3 linked regions of the Nothobranchius furzeri genome follow. The protein of the gene in region 1 purifies or fractionates together with the protein of each later gene. This does not show direct contact. Links are inferred from orthologs where the notes say so. Each region holds a gene or a part of one and is shown in the gene's direction. Other genes may lie near its edges.

Region 1 (4,398 bases):
CAGTCTTCTCGGGTCTCTCCTGTGGCAGGCGTTATACCTGATCGCCACAAATGGCACACCTGAGCTTCAGAATCCAGAGAAGCTGTCTCCGGTTTTCAGAGATTTCCTGAACCGCTGCCTGGAGATGGATGTAGAGAAAAGAGGTGGTGGGAAGGAACTCCTGCAGGTGAAACTTTTTCATTATTTTTACAGTGTTTTACATTTTGTCTTCGTGTCATTAAAATGGCTGTTGTCCTCCTCTCTGTTGATTCAGCATCCGTTCCTGAAGCTGGCAAAGCCCCTCTCCAGTCTCACACCACTCATCCTGGCAGCCAAGGAGGCCATGAAGGGCAATCGTTAGTGAACAAAACCAGCTAGCCTGCCTCCTCATGCTGTGCACAGACATGTGCCAACCATTTAGATTTTGTGCCAGACAATAGGCTGAGAGTGACTCGCCAGCCTTAGAAGCCCTGACAAACCTCACTGTGAAGAAGACCAAAAATCTCGAGCACATCCACACCGCTGTCCACATGAACTTCATTTTCTCTCAGACGTCAGAAGACAAGTCAAATTAAAGTGCTTAGTTTAAGAGCCTGGAATAGTTTATATGTACATCAAATCTGGTGGTAAGTTGGGGCTTGGCTTGTATTTAACTTGGAATGAAGAAGATGCCTAGTTCTGTTTAGTTTTTTTAATCAACTGCCTTAAAAAAAGCAAAAGTTGCCTAATGTGTTGTTTGTCTCCTTTCCCACGACTTTTACTACCTTTGTAATTGACTTTTCAGCTTGTCAGTATCTTAGTTATTTTGATACTTGAATTTCATTTTTGTGTTTATAATGTGTCTCACACAACAGACGTGCTGTGTCCACGCATGTTTTATCAGCATTTCTTCACCATTTTATAGGAAGCATTTCACGGCATTGATCATCATGAATGTGTGCCGTGCTCGTGTCGTTCTATAGCTGTCACACCTGACCGATCCACTGCATCTGTTCTTCCCCGGTATTTTTAGTCTCCTCAAATCAGAGGCGCACCTTACAGGCAATTAAAATGTTAGATGACAGGGTTTATACTTTCTTTATTGCTATTAAATTGAGTATTTTATGTTGACCTTTGTCCTTTGCGTTCTTCCAGAAGTGCACTGGAGATTTGAAAACAACCATATTGGGTGAAGTTGCAACAGGAGCCTATTGTAGAATTTTTATATTTTATTCTGAAGATCTAAAAGCCTGGTCTACACACAAATGTCGTTTGTTTGCTCTCATGATGTGAATGTAAAGATCTTCGGTTTATAGTATAAAACATGCAGAAACCTGTCATTAAAGTTTTAACTAGAGATTTATTATGTCTGCTGGCTTTATGCTATGAACTATTATTGTCTTTATTTTTTAAACATTGTCCTAAAAAATATCCTAGCTACATAGGAAAAGTAGTCACGGTGCTGTTTAGTATCAGGATGTGTACCACATTGATCATGGACCACAGGAAGCTAAAGGGAGAGTTCTTGGAACAGGAATTGTTGATAATAAAGACAGCTTGATGTTCAGAAGTTCGATAAAATCCCCAAAGAGATTCGAGGTGAACTTGTCTTGTATGGAATGTACAAAATTTAGAGTTTCATAAATATTTGTATTTTCTAATTTAATATTGCAAATCTGAGATGATGCACAAGTACTACTGTTTACATTTGTGTGACAGATGAAACAAGCCCAGATTAATCCGTGACCACCCTCCAAACAAACAGTCCCAGATCATGCAAATGTTGATCCGACCCAAGCAGATCCTAGAGCGTAAAAAAGTAGCTGGAGTCGCGCATGCGCAAAATGTAATAAATATGGCGGACAGTGTTTTGGTTTGCCACTAAGTTTGTTCAGTCATAGCTTTCTTCATACGGACACACCTGGTGGGCGTTTTAATTCTCTCTTTTGGTTTGCTCAATGGCACATCAACTAAAGGACAAGGAGGCCTATCAAAGGATGAACTACCTTTATCAGGTCGGTTAGAAATGGTTACGAGAAAAATCAGTAGTCGCGCGGCTAGCATGGTAGCTACCGTGTTAAGGGGCTTAATGTACCGGTTTTATCTCTACAGGCTGCACATTGTATATTATCTCAAAATCCTAACAACGTGGAGTTGGCTCGTTTCTACTGCTTCACTCAGAAGACTATCGCAAGACGTTTGGTCCTCAGACAGTAAGTAAACTGAGGCAAAGAGTTAAGTGTTTTATTTTGAAAACAAATTTAGGTCTTTGCGGCACTTCCTGCGAGTAAAGGTACTTCTTCCGTTATTTTTATCAGGTGTAGATGGGGCATGATTTCTATTTTCTTGACTTTTTAAATCCGTAGTAAAATAAACTATGTGAAATATGTTTATTTGTGCACAGTTGACTTAAATTAGAGGTTCCTTCCCAACCTTTTTCCCCAGAGGACTCCTTGCCTGATACGGGCTGTTGGGTCCCTGTATGACCGGTGTCAGAGCTTGGTCCCCATCTCACTGGGTCCACGTTTCCAGTGAGAGATGGACTCCGCCAAGGCTGACCTTTGCCACCGATTCTGTTCATAACCTTTATGGACAGGATGTCTAGGCACAGCCAAGATGTGGAGGGCATCCGTTTTAGTGGCCTGAGGATCAGGTCTCTGCTTTTTGCAGATGATGTGGTCCTGTTTGCTTCATCAGAACGTGATCTTCAGCTTTCACTGGAGCGGTTTGCAGCTGAGTGTGAAGCAGCTGGGATGAGAATCAGCTCCTCTGAACCTGAGACCATGGTCTTGATTCGGAAAAGGGTAGAATGCCTTCTCCGGGTCAGGGATGAGGTCCTGCCCCAAGTGGAGGAGTTTAAGTATCTCGGGGTCTTGTTCACGAGTGAGGGAAAACTGGAGCGTGAGATCGATAGGTGGATTGGTGCTGCGTCTGCAGTGATGCGGGCGTTGTACCGGTCTGTCGTGGTGAAGAGAGAGCTGAGTCAGAAGGCAAAGCTCTCGATTTACCGGTCGATCTACGTTCCTACCCTCACCTATGGTCACGAGCTTTGGGTAGAGACCGAAAGAACGAGATTGCAGACACAAGTGACTGAAATGAGTTTTCTCCGCAGAGTGGCTGGGGGCTCTCCCTTAGAGATAGGGTGTGAAGCTTGGTCGTCCAGGAGGGGCTCGGAGTAGACCCGCTGCTCCTCCACATTAAGAGGAGTCAGTTGATGTGGCTCGGGCATCTGGTCAGGATGCCTCCTGGACGCCTCCCTGGTGAGGTTTTTCGGGCACGTCCAACCAGGAGGAGACCTAAAGGGAGACCCAGGACACGGTGGAGGGACTATTGGGCCATTCCCATCTGTACCGGGTCGGGTAGCGTAGGTTGTTTACATATCTGGGTGGCCTGGTATTTTTCCGGGCCAACCAAGGCTCATTCTCAGCCCTCTTCTCGAGGGGGTCTGCTTCAGGCCGACCAGGGCCAACACACCCACTGCTGACAGCAAATTCACACCTTCCATTAGAGCAAGCCTCTGATTGGTGGGTAGAATCAGCCCACATGGGCTTAAGACAAGGATGTGTGGAATCACCCGGGCCAGGCTGGGGCCGACTGGGGCTACCCGGCCTGGGCCGACCCGGTACAGATGAGAATGGCCCATATGTCTCTCACCTGGCCAGGGAACGCCTTGGGATTCCCCCGGAGGAGCTGGCCCAAGTGGCTGGGGAGAGGGAAGTCTGGGCCTCTCTCCTTAGGCTAATGCCCCCGCAAACTGACTCCGGATAAGCGGATGAAAATGGATGGATGGACTCCTTGCCTGTCAAAGACACCCCCCCCCCCCCAACCCAAACTCTTTTCCGCATATACACATTAAAAGTGATTAATTACAAACGTTATACATCTTATATAAAGATTTTATTATATTATTGTCAAGTTCAAAGTCGCAGTAGAGGAGCTGGTCCCAGAGGACAGTCACATTGATGATATCTTGACATCCCACAACGATCCTGAAAGGCTGGAAAAGACTACAAAAAATGTGGAGGAAATTCTGAGAGTGAACGGGTTTTTTCCTCAAGTCATGGATCCGGTCTGGGCAAAGTGGGAGGCGGATAAACCAGGAATCAACTAAACCTGTTTGAGAAAACCCAACAGGGAAAGATGGAGTTGTGATCCTTCCCAATCAGATGAGGGAAGGTGAAAACGGAGCCCTGGGGATCGGATACCTGGTCCAAGAGGACAAGTTGTATATATTTTCCTCTATCAAATGTGTGTTTTTAGTATTTTATTAATGTAATTTTTGCATATTTAATCCTGGTAACCTCACTACCTCAGAACAAACAAACCTGTGGGGACTCACTTGGGGGGGTCACGGACCCTACGTTGGGAACCACTGACTTAAACAATTAAAAACTAAGGGCATTAGCATGGATTTGGTCATTCACATATGCAAACAATCAG
Region 2 (4,416 bases), on another chromosome or scaffold:
TGCAAGACAGACTGAACATCTGGAAGATAATCACAAGAGATGTTTGAAAGTGAAGGTTCTACTACTTCCTCTTCTGACTGAAGTCTTAGATCTTGATCTGTCCCTGACTTTCTGGATTCGCTAGTCTGTGGGTTCTGGTTCTTGGGCTGTGTACCTGAGTAGGTGAGAAAGACTGGAGATAAGTTTCCTCGGCCAGTCTGCTGCAGCAGTGGAACCAACCGATGAAACAGGAAAATGTGAGCGTTCTGCAGCGCTGCAACACACGCCTCATCACACTCCTTCAGACTGTTCAGGAATCTGAACAGAAACATCCATCCATGATCAGCAGATCAACCAAACAATTAATAAATAAGATGTCTAAGCCTCAGAACCTCATCCTGGACACGAAGCCTGAGTAGAAACGGGTCGGAACACAGCATCTGGCGGGAAAGAAAATCCTCAGAGGTCTTAACAGGGAAGCCATTCTGGACCGGACCTGCTGGATTAGGCCAGACTGATCTGAACTGGATTGGTGTGGTTCTGCTGCCTCAGCCTGCACACAGAGTCTGTTTTTATGTTTCTGCAAGATGTTCATTAATGAAGCTGATACTAACCTGTTTACCAGTCATAAGCAGCAGTTTTCCACTCAAACTAGTCTGATCAGGTCTGATTTAAATACACTTTTCTGAATAATTATTCTTGTGACCTCCAACAATTATTCTCACACTGCATCAGATTTATTTCACAGGCAGAAGTGTTAGATCGGTAGGATGCCCTGTTTAATAATCAGGGATTCTGTAAATCTGCTCGTTTCTGTTAGGTTACACTGAAACTATAGATTCGTGTCAGGCTAGTGGTTCTGAACACAAAAACCCGCTCAGAGTTCAGGCTGACCCGCTTTGTTATAGCAGTGTAACATCCACTTTGGTTCGGTTTAAGCGCGAGAATCTCAGACGTCTGCAGTAAATTTTCGACTTTTCACTGACCTCTGACCTTTTCTTCTTCTGCTGCTGCTGTTTGTTCCCTGAGCAGCGGTTTGGCACGGCTGCCCCCTGCTGCCAGACTGTTGTTACTGCAGCTGCAGTTCTTTGGAAGCAACAAAGTAAATAAAAATAACCTAGTGAACTACTAGACCTCTTGCGTTGCAAAGTTTAAATAACAGATTTATTTAGTCTGGCTTGCCAGGCTAGTGTAAAGCAGTAAATATGATTGATTTGAACTTTAGTCAAAATTTAGAAAATGAAAAATGAAAGTATTTGATTTCTTTGTAATTTGTCTGTCCTGGTATTAAAGTGATACTAAAATACTTTCTATAATAAAACAAAAATGCACCTCTGTTACTAATGTATGCTTAAATTAGTCATATTGTGTGTGCGTGCACGCACGCGCGCGCGCGCGTGTGTTTAAGTCACTTTAAAACAAGATACGTCTTCCCAGGAGGAAATATCCAAACAGGTTCATGTCAAATTGAGAAAAAAGATTAGCTTTATCACAGAATCCACTGGTTTTCTTCTTTTGTCGTTCTTGGGCTTGGGGCTTCCGCCACCAGCAGGTGGCGGTAATACAAAATATTCTGTGTCAGCCTCAGCCCGTGTCACTCACTCATCGAGAACAAGACTCCAGCTCCCAGCAAGCCTTGCGGTTTTCTATATGTGGAGCTGTATAGGTTCGTGGTACCATGTCTGTGTTTATGGACCTAAACGTGATGTATTCGTCTAATATAAAGCAATTGCAGAGTTTGGTGGAAACAGCTGCTCATCGTGAGTATTCTCGACCTTAAACCAGACCTTTTCTAGTGTTGTGTTTAGTTGGTCCGCCTCGTAACTCAGCTGGTTTTGGTTCGGCTGATGAGGCTCTGGTATCAGTTAAACACTGTCAGTAAATGACTTGATTTGTTAAGATATTAATCGATAATGCTTGTTTATAACATCACTAAGAACAACCCTTATCACTAGATTTTGTGGGAAAAGTTGAATCCGTTTATTAGAGAAATAATCGATCACAGCTTGTTTGCATCTAAAACCCACAAACCCGTAACATCGCCTTGGATTATGTACTTTTGATTAGGAACAATATTTCATAACAAAGCATTCTTTGTTGTCCATTTGACCCTTTGCACGTGCGTAACTGAACAATAACTGTTGAGGATAAAGCCTGAGACATAATCATTACGTCTGACAGGAAACAGAAAGATATCAGATGTTTACTTGATCTTCAGTAGTTTGGAGTATTTACATCAGTGACTGTGACAGGATCGTGATATCCACCTGATTCACACAAACAGAGCTCTTAAAGCACTCAATTTCCTAAACCCTACACAACCACAGATCCAGAATCAGAACCTGGATGATGCAAACCTCACTGAAGGGATTAACTGGGATTTTGTTTTCCCCTCCTACAGTTGGATATTCCACGGTCGCCATCAACTATGTGTTTGAGCTCGTAGCCAAGAAGAAACAGGTCAGACTACCTACTGCGCTGCATTGAGGAACAGCATGGAGTCAGATAGAAGCCTTTGATGTGGCTGCGTTTTGATACTTTATTACATTCTCATTCATTCTTATGAACAGAAACATCCAAATGGTAAAACATCAAAACGGGTTTTATAAAACTGATCTCCGAGCATTCACTTGATCTCTATGGTTAAGCAGATGCTGAATCAATCAGTTGATTGTCAATGAATTTACATTTTGTTTCAAACTTTTATTATTGGGAGTATGTTTATTTTGTCTTTGCAGGAAATTCCCTCACCAAAGCCGATCAATGAGATCTTTGATAAGCTGCCCATGGTGCAGGGCCGTTCTCGTCCAATCAGAGTGCTGAACAGACTGACGCTGGTGATGTCTGACGCCAGTCACTATGTGAGTTGTCTAATTAGAGCTAAGGGATCAATAATCTTGAAATGGATTGTATGATGTGATGCCACAGCCTGTTTTGTGTGTGTGTGTGTGTGTGTGTGTGTGTGTGTGTGTGTGTGTGTGTGTGTGCGTGCGTGCGTGTGCGTGCGTGTGTGTGCGTGCGTGCGTGCTCACAGCCGACCAACTCTCCAGCTTTTCGATTTTTCGACCTCATCGCCCTCCATTCAAGCTCTGAGAAAGTCTTCCATGTGAGCTTCACTGACACTCTGTTCATCTCTCCAACAGGATGATGCTTTCACTGACTACAGGAATGTTGATGGATGAAATATGTGACTTTAAAAAATCAACTTACTGGAAAAACGCACAACAAAACTAAACAAAAGACCATCTGAAACACAACTGGATATTTAACAAAAGAAAAGTTTAAAAAAGACAAAAAAATAATAAATTGACAACATTTAATTAGAAAACACAACAGGACCTAAACTGCAATTTCACTGAATGGAAAAGTTTTCAAGAAACACAACATTATAAAAAATAGAAACTAACTGTGGTTGTAATAGCAGTAGCTGTAATTTGTCCTGGAAAACACAGCTGTACAATAATTACACCTGTATGAAACAGACTGAGTGGAAAGCACTCTATTTTTACTGAAGTATGTGTATTATGTGTGTGTGTGTGTGTGTGTGTGTGTGTGTGTGTGTGTGTGTGTGTGTGTTATTCAGGCAGCTTGCACGTTGTACGATATCGACATCATCTGCATCCCAGTGACAGAGAAGCTACCCTTTTTCTTCAAGAGAGCGCCGATCAATGCGGTGACAACCAAGGCTTTTGTTTGTTTGTTTATTTGTGTGTGTGTGTGTTTTAATGAATGTGTGAACCTGTGTAAGTTCAGGCCATCGAGAGAGGCGTTGCATTTGAGGTATCCTATGCTGCAGCCATCAGAGACTCTACCATGAGGCGCTACACCATCGCCAACGCCGTGTGCCTGATGGAGAGCTGTAAAGGGAAGGTATGCATGTCCTTGCATCTGATTGGCTAGCTGCAGAGTAATTTACACTATGCTGTTATTTGACATAAGCTCTGTGACATCACGTTGCAGGTGAGATCTTGAGCTCTGTTTCTGTTTTTCAGAACGTGATCCTGTCGAGTGCAGCTGACAAGGTCAGTGATCAGCTACGTCTGTGGATCAAACATGAATTTAACTAAAGGTTCTGTTTCACCAAATCAGAACATTTCTAATAACTGAGTTTTAGCCCTTTTTGTCCACCGTACTTCTCTGACCTGATATTTGTGTTTTCAGTCTTGGGAGCTCAGAGGACCATATGACATCGCCAACCTGTATCCTTTAACCATTGTTCATTAATCTGACATAGGGCTCAGTGTTGCCGCAGTCTGTGAGATATCAGAACAGACCATCGTGTGTGTTTTCACAGAACTGTGTCTGGTGTGTAGTGTTGTACAACACATTTCATGTCTTGCGTTCCTGATCTGGTTCTCAGAGGTCTGCTGTTTGGTTTGTCCAACCGAGATGCTAAAGAATCTATCTCGTCCACCTGCAGATCTGTTTTACTGCGTG
Region 3 (4,382 bases), on another chromosome or scaffold:
CAGAAAGTGGGCGTGTTGGAAGTGGGACATGATCAAAAAACACCTGAGAACATTTCTAGGTAGTCTCTGATTCATAAAGCGGAGATTGTGTGCAATTGTGCGTACTCCATATTTTATAGATCACAAACCTACTTGGCATAAGTACATTTTTTTGCTGAGTTTAAGTACAGTTTTAGTAAGAATTCTATGCTATGTTTTATAGATGAGACCCCTGACCTGTACTGGAATGGTTATTGTGTGAAGGTCCTTGAGACGACTGGTCGTGACTTGGCGCTATAGAAATAAACTGAATTGAATGTTGGAAGTCCTAGTAAGCTCTGTTTATCCATGTATTTTATTCAAGGAGTGGAAGGAGTTTGGTGAAACCATGGTCCTGAGTCAGAAAAGGGTAGAATGCCTTGTCCAGGTCAGGGATGAGGTCCTGCCCCAAGTGGAAGAGTTTAAGTATCTCGGGGTCTTGTTCACGAGTGAAGGAAAGATGGAGCGTGAGATCGATAGATGGATTGGTGATGCAGGCTTTGTACTGGTCTGCCATTGTTAAGACAGAGCTGAGTCAGAAGGCAAAGCTCTTAATTTATTGATCTATCTACATTCCAACCCTCATCTACAGTCACGGGCTTTGGCAGTGACCAAAAAAATGAGATCGCAGATACAAGCGGACTAAATGCATTTTCTCTGTGAGGTGGCTGGACACCTCCTTAGAGATAGGGTGAGAAATGTGGAGGGGCTCGAAGTAGATCCTCTGCTTCTCCACATATGGTTAGGATGCCTGCTGGACCTGGTGAGGTTTTCCGGGCACACCAACCAGGAGGAGACCTAATGGAAGACCCAGGATACGCTAGAGGGACTATGTCTCTCAGCTGGCCAGGGAACACCTTGGGAATCCCCCGGAGGAGCTGGCCCAGGTGGTTGGGGAGAGGGAAGCCTGGGCCTGGCTGCTGATCAGCAGATGGATGTTCTCTGGTGTTTTTGTCTACAGCTGACTGAACTTCATGATGACGAGAAACAATAAGAGCCAATAGTGTTTAAAACAAAGCTGTTCACCTGTAGAACTCCTACAAATGCATCACTTCCGGTAGTCACCCACAGAACAAAACTAATCTTTATTTACGCAGGTTAAACACGTGGTTAGCTAGAAACGGCGCGCGTTCCCGACGCAGGGTACACGTTCTACCTGGGATACCGACATCAGTACAACACCGGAGCAGGACCGTTCTCATTAGGTCACGTTTCTGATCCAATACGTCACAAATAACAACATACCGGTTGTCCTCCTCCGCGTCATCAAACTGCCCTGGTACGGCAGCCACCTCCACCATGATGTCACGTGAATAAACAGAAACCAGGACCAAGTTCTGCTCGGGTTACCCTAGGTTCGGACCGGAGCGCGCTTTCACCACCGCGTGTTTTCTTCACTTCCGGCGTAGACCACGTGACTACGGGGACCCACGAGGCTCTGAAAACAGCACGACATCCTCCTGCTCAGATCTACAGAACCTGTAGAACATCCAGAACTTCCGCGGTTCCGTTTGGTTTCATGCTAACGGGTTCTCGTCTGGATCCGGTCTCGACGAGGGTACCGTGAATATGTGTTCGGATCTGGACCGGACTCCTCGGACTCTGCTGGTCTGTGATCGGTCCAGTTTCCTGGACGAGAAGAACCGGGTCAGCCCTCAGGTGGAGAAGCTGCACTTCAACCACAAGGTGAGAGCTGCGCGTGCACGCGCTGTGACGAGCCAGTGTTTTGCCCATGCCGTGCATGCCCTGTCGCGGGAGCGCGCATCGCTGCACCGACATCTGAGTCACGAGGCAACTGAAGTATAAACTTTTCTCATCCGGGTACTTGCTGAATAGATAGGTGAAAATAATAACAGAACCCTGCTGCCAGGTACGGGTCCAGGTGATGTCCAGTTTCTGCTGCTTCTACCTGCAGCATCACAAAGTCGTGCTACCTTCTGTTGACTGGGTTCATCTGTGCAGGTATCTGTACTGCTGCCTGGGTGTAGCGTCACCCCCTCCAACCTGGACTTGGTGATGAACACCTTCAGCAGTTTCTACCTGATCAAGAAGCTACCAGTACACGAGCTGCTGGACCCAGGCCTGCAGGGTGCCATAAACCAAGGTAACACAACACCTGTATATACCATTTAGTTATCAGTACACACCTGTGTGTACTTGTTATTTAGTACTTACCTGTACACACTTGTCTGAACCTTCTTCAGGTGTTGTGTATGGTCTGTCCTTTGGGACTCGCATCGATGAAGATACCTGTGTTGCTTTGATGCCAAAAGGTAAAACAGGCGACAGCTTTGACTTCTTCAGTGCAACATGAAAAAAACTGAGTGGTTCCTCTGGTCCCTGCAGGACGTCTGGTTCTGTCTCTGGACAAAGACTCGTACGAACTTCTGGGGGTTGAGGGGAAACCGTCCAGATTCAACCACAGAACCTGCAGCAGATTTGGTCAGGTTTACTTTTGTTTTCTAAAGGTCACCAAGTCCAGATCGATCCTGCAGACCTTCATCACTCTGGTCTGGTCTCTGGTGGGTCTGCAGACCTTCATCGCTCTGGTCTGGTCTCTGGTGGGTCTGCAGACCTTCGTCACTCTGGTCTCTGGTGGGTCTGCAGACCTTCATCACTCTGGTGGGTCTGCAGACCTTCGTCACTCTGGTCTGGTCTCTGGTGGGTCTGCAGACCTTCATCAGTCTGATCTCTGGTGGGTCTGCAGACCTTCATCAGTCTGATCTCTGGTGGGTCTGCAGACCTTCATCAGTCTGATCTCTGGTGGGTCTGTAGAACTTCATCACTCTGGTCTGGTCTCTGGTGGATCTGCAGACCTTCATCAGTCTGATCTCTGGTGGGTCTGTAGAACTTCATCACTCTGGTCTGGTCTCTGGTGGATCTGCAGACCTTCATCAGTTTGATCTCTGGTGGGTCTGCAGACCTTCATCACTCTGGTCAGGTCTCTGGTAGGTCTGCAGACCTTCATCACTCTGGTCAAACATGTCACCATATCACCAGCTGTGATGACACGATTTTCGTCTCCAGATCCAAAGTTTGTTTAAAGTTTCCACATTTTCTGTCAAGCGTTTCTGTATAAACCGCGCGGTTTGCGTAGAAAGTCCCTTACACCGTTTTCTGACCCGTTTTGTGCAGAAGCAGCTTTCTAAAGGAAGTCCCAGGACTATAGGTGTTGGGTCTCCAGGTACCAGGTGTGAAGGGACCCGTGCGGTAGCCTAAAAAAGCCAGTTGACTAAACAGCAGCAGAGCCAGGACACTGGGTGGAGTTTTAGGGTGAATTTATCCTCACTAGAAGGAACCTGCAGGAAAGAATGTCCAGATGTTCCTGACTCAGGTCCGGGTTGTTCAGTCCTGACCTGTTTGCTGAGCTCAGCCTGAACAGAACCAGAAACCAACCGAGTGTGATGTCTCCTGCAGTGGTCTCTGTGGACCTGACGGACAGCAGCATGGCACCTGGTGGACGGGGCCACACCCGGCTCCTTACAGGTCTTCGGTCACACCTTCAGCTGCAGACAGACTTCCTACTGTCCCATCATCCAGGTGACACACCATTGTTAAGGATGGTTACATGTGATCTTCTCCTTACAGGTGAAACTCATAAAAACTAGAACAAGGGGTAAAGGTCACTGTTGTCACTAATCCACCCTGAAAGGTGAGACTAATCAATGAGACAGACTCATCCTGTCAATCCAGATGTTTCCGCCTTTATCTGTTCTACCTGTGATGATTACGGCTTCCAGATGATGACGACCCCACATTTAACATCTCAGAATATCATGTAAAGGTTCAATGTTCTCCAATCAGCTGATGAATCCACAACACAGGCAGAGGCTTCCTGAGCCTTTAGATGGTCTCGCAGTCTAAACTGGACTTATGGACCAGATTCTCTTTTACTGTATCACCTGTACTCCATTCTGCCTCTCAGAGGGTGGGGCCTCTCTACAGCCACTCCTGTCTCGTTATGATTGGTCCAAACACGAACCTGAGGTCAGCTGCCGCCACCTGACTGACCTGACCTGTCCCGACTTTCGGTCATGTGACTGTCACAGTCTTCTGGAGTGGATTGGAGCTGTGGAGGCCGACATCAGCTGGTGAGTGGTCCAGTCAGGGTCACGTGTCCAAGTGTTGTGACTACAAGTCGTTCTTCTGTGGTTTCAGTGAGAGCTCATCCAGCAGCTTCCTGTCATCGTTCACCTGTCCAGAGCCCAATGACGTGCTCAGTCATGCTCTGAGCGTGTCCATCTGTGGCCTGCTGTTGCCACACGATGTGCAGCGACTGATCCAGGAGCTCAGGTTAGCTCTCTCACACAAGCACACCTTTACCTGAACAGCTGACGACAAAATAACTCACCTGTGCTTCAGGT

The links.
Region 2: the proteins of rpp21 (region 1) and rpp30 purify together in Homo sapiens (co-immunoprecipitation; 3 studies listed by BioGRID and IntAct, counting the BioPlex papers as one, with this or other methods). This does not show direct contact. The link is inferred for Nothobranchius furzeri from reciprocal best matches to the Homo sapiens genes RPP21 and RPP30.
Region 3: the proteins of rpp21 (region 1) and rpp40 purify together in Homo sapiens (co-immunoprecipitation; 3 studies listed by BioGRID and IntAct, counting the BioPlex papers as one, with this or other methods). This does not show direct contact. The link is inferred for Nothobranchius furzeri from reciprocal best matches to the Homo sapiens genes RPP21 and RPP40.

Annotation. Positions count from the first base shown.
Region 1 is NC_091748.1:41,191,545-41,195,942, forward strand, and holds the start of rpp21 (ribonuclease P protein subunit p21), read left to right. Parts: upstream 1-1,463; 5' UTR 1,464-1,916; coding exon 1,917-1,973; intron 1,974-2,070; coding exon 2,071-2,171; intron 2,172-4,398. Other genes in the region: pak2b (serine/threonine-protein kinase PAK 2b), read left to right, coding at 29-166, 254-340. UniProt on the Homo sapiens protein: Component of ribonuclease P, a ribonucleoprotein complex that generates mature tRNA molecules by cleaving their 5'-ends.
Region 2 is NC_091756.1:51,152,750-51,157,165, forward strand, and holds the start of rpp30 (ribonuclease P protein subunit p30), read left to right. Parts: upstream 1-1,583; 5' UTR 1,584-1,657; coding exon 1,658-1,739; intron 1,740-2,380; coding exon 2,381-2,439; intron 2,440-2,717; coding exon 2,718-2,840; intron 2,841-3,013; coding exon 3,014-3,085; intron 3,086-3,562; coding exon 3,563-3,652; intron 3,653-3,732; coding exon 3,733-3,849; intron 3,850-3,971; coding exon 3,972-4,001; intron 4,002-4,140; coding exon 4,141-4,178; intron 4,179-4,339; coding exon 4,340-4,416. Other genes in the region: nudt13 (NAD(P)H pyrophosphatase NUDT13, mitochondrial), read right to left, coding at 1-19, 155-297, 372-574. UniProt on the Homo sapiens protein: Component of ribonuclease P, a ribonucleoprotein complex that generates mature tRNA molecules by cleaving their 5'-ends. Also a component of the MRP ribonuclease complex, which cleaves pre-rRNA sequences.
Region 3 is NC_091751.1:33,814,071-33,818,452, reverse strand, and holds the start of rpp40 (ribonuclease P protein subunit p40), read left to right. Parts: upstream 1-1,513; 5' UTR 1,514-1,587; coding exon 1,588-1,704; intron 1,705-1,750; exon of another isoform or gene 1,751-1,888; intron 1,889-1,980; coding exon 1,981-2,122; intron 2,123-2,222; coding exon 2,223-2,291; intron 2,292-2,364; coding exon 2,365-2,460; intron 2,461-3,435; coding exon 3,436-3,558; intron 3,559-3,943; coding exon 3,944-4,109; intron 4,110-4,176; coding exon 4,177-4,311; intron 4,312-4,380; coding exon 4,381-4,382. Other genes in the region: riok1 (serine/threonine-protein kinase RIO1), read right to left, coding at 1,264-1,319. UniProt on the Homo sapiens protein: Component of ribonuclease P, a ribonucleoprotein complex that generates mature tRNA molecules by cleaving their 5'-ends. Also a component of the MRP ribonuclease complex, which cleaves pre-rRNA sequences.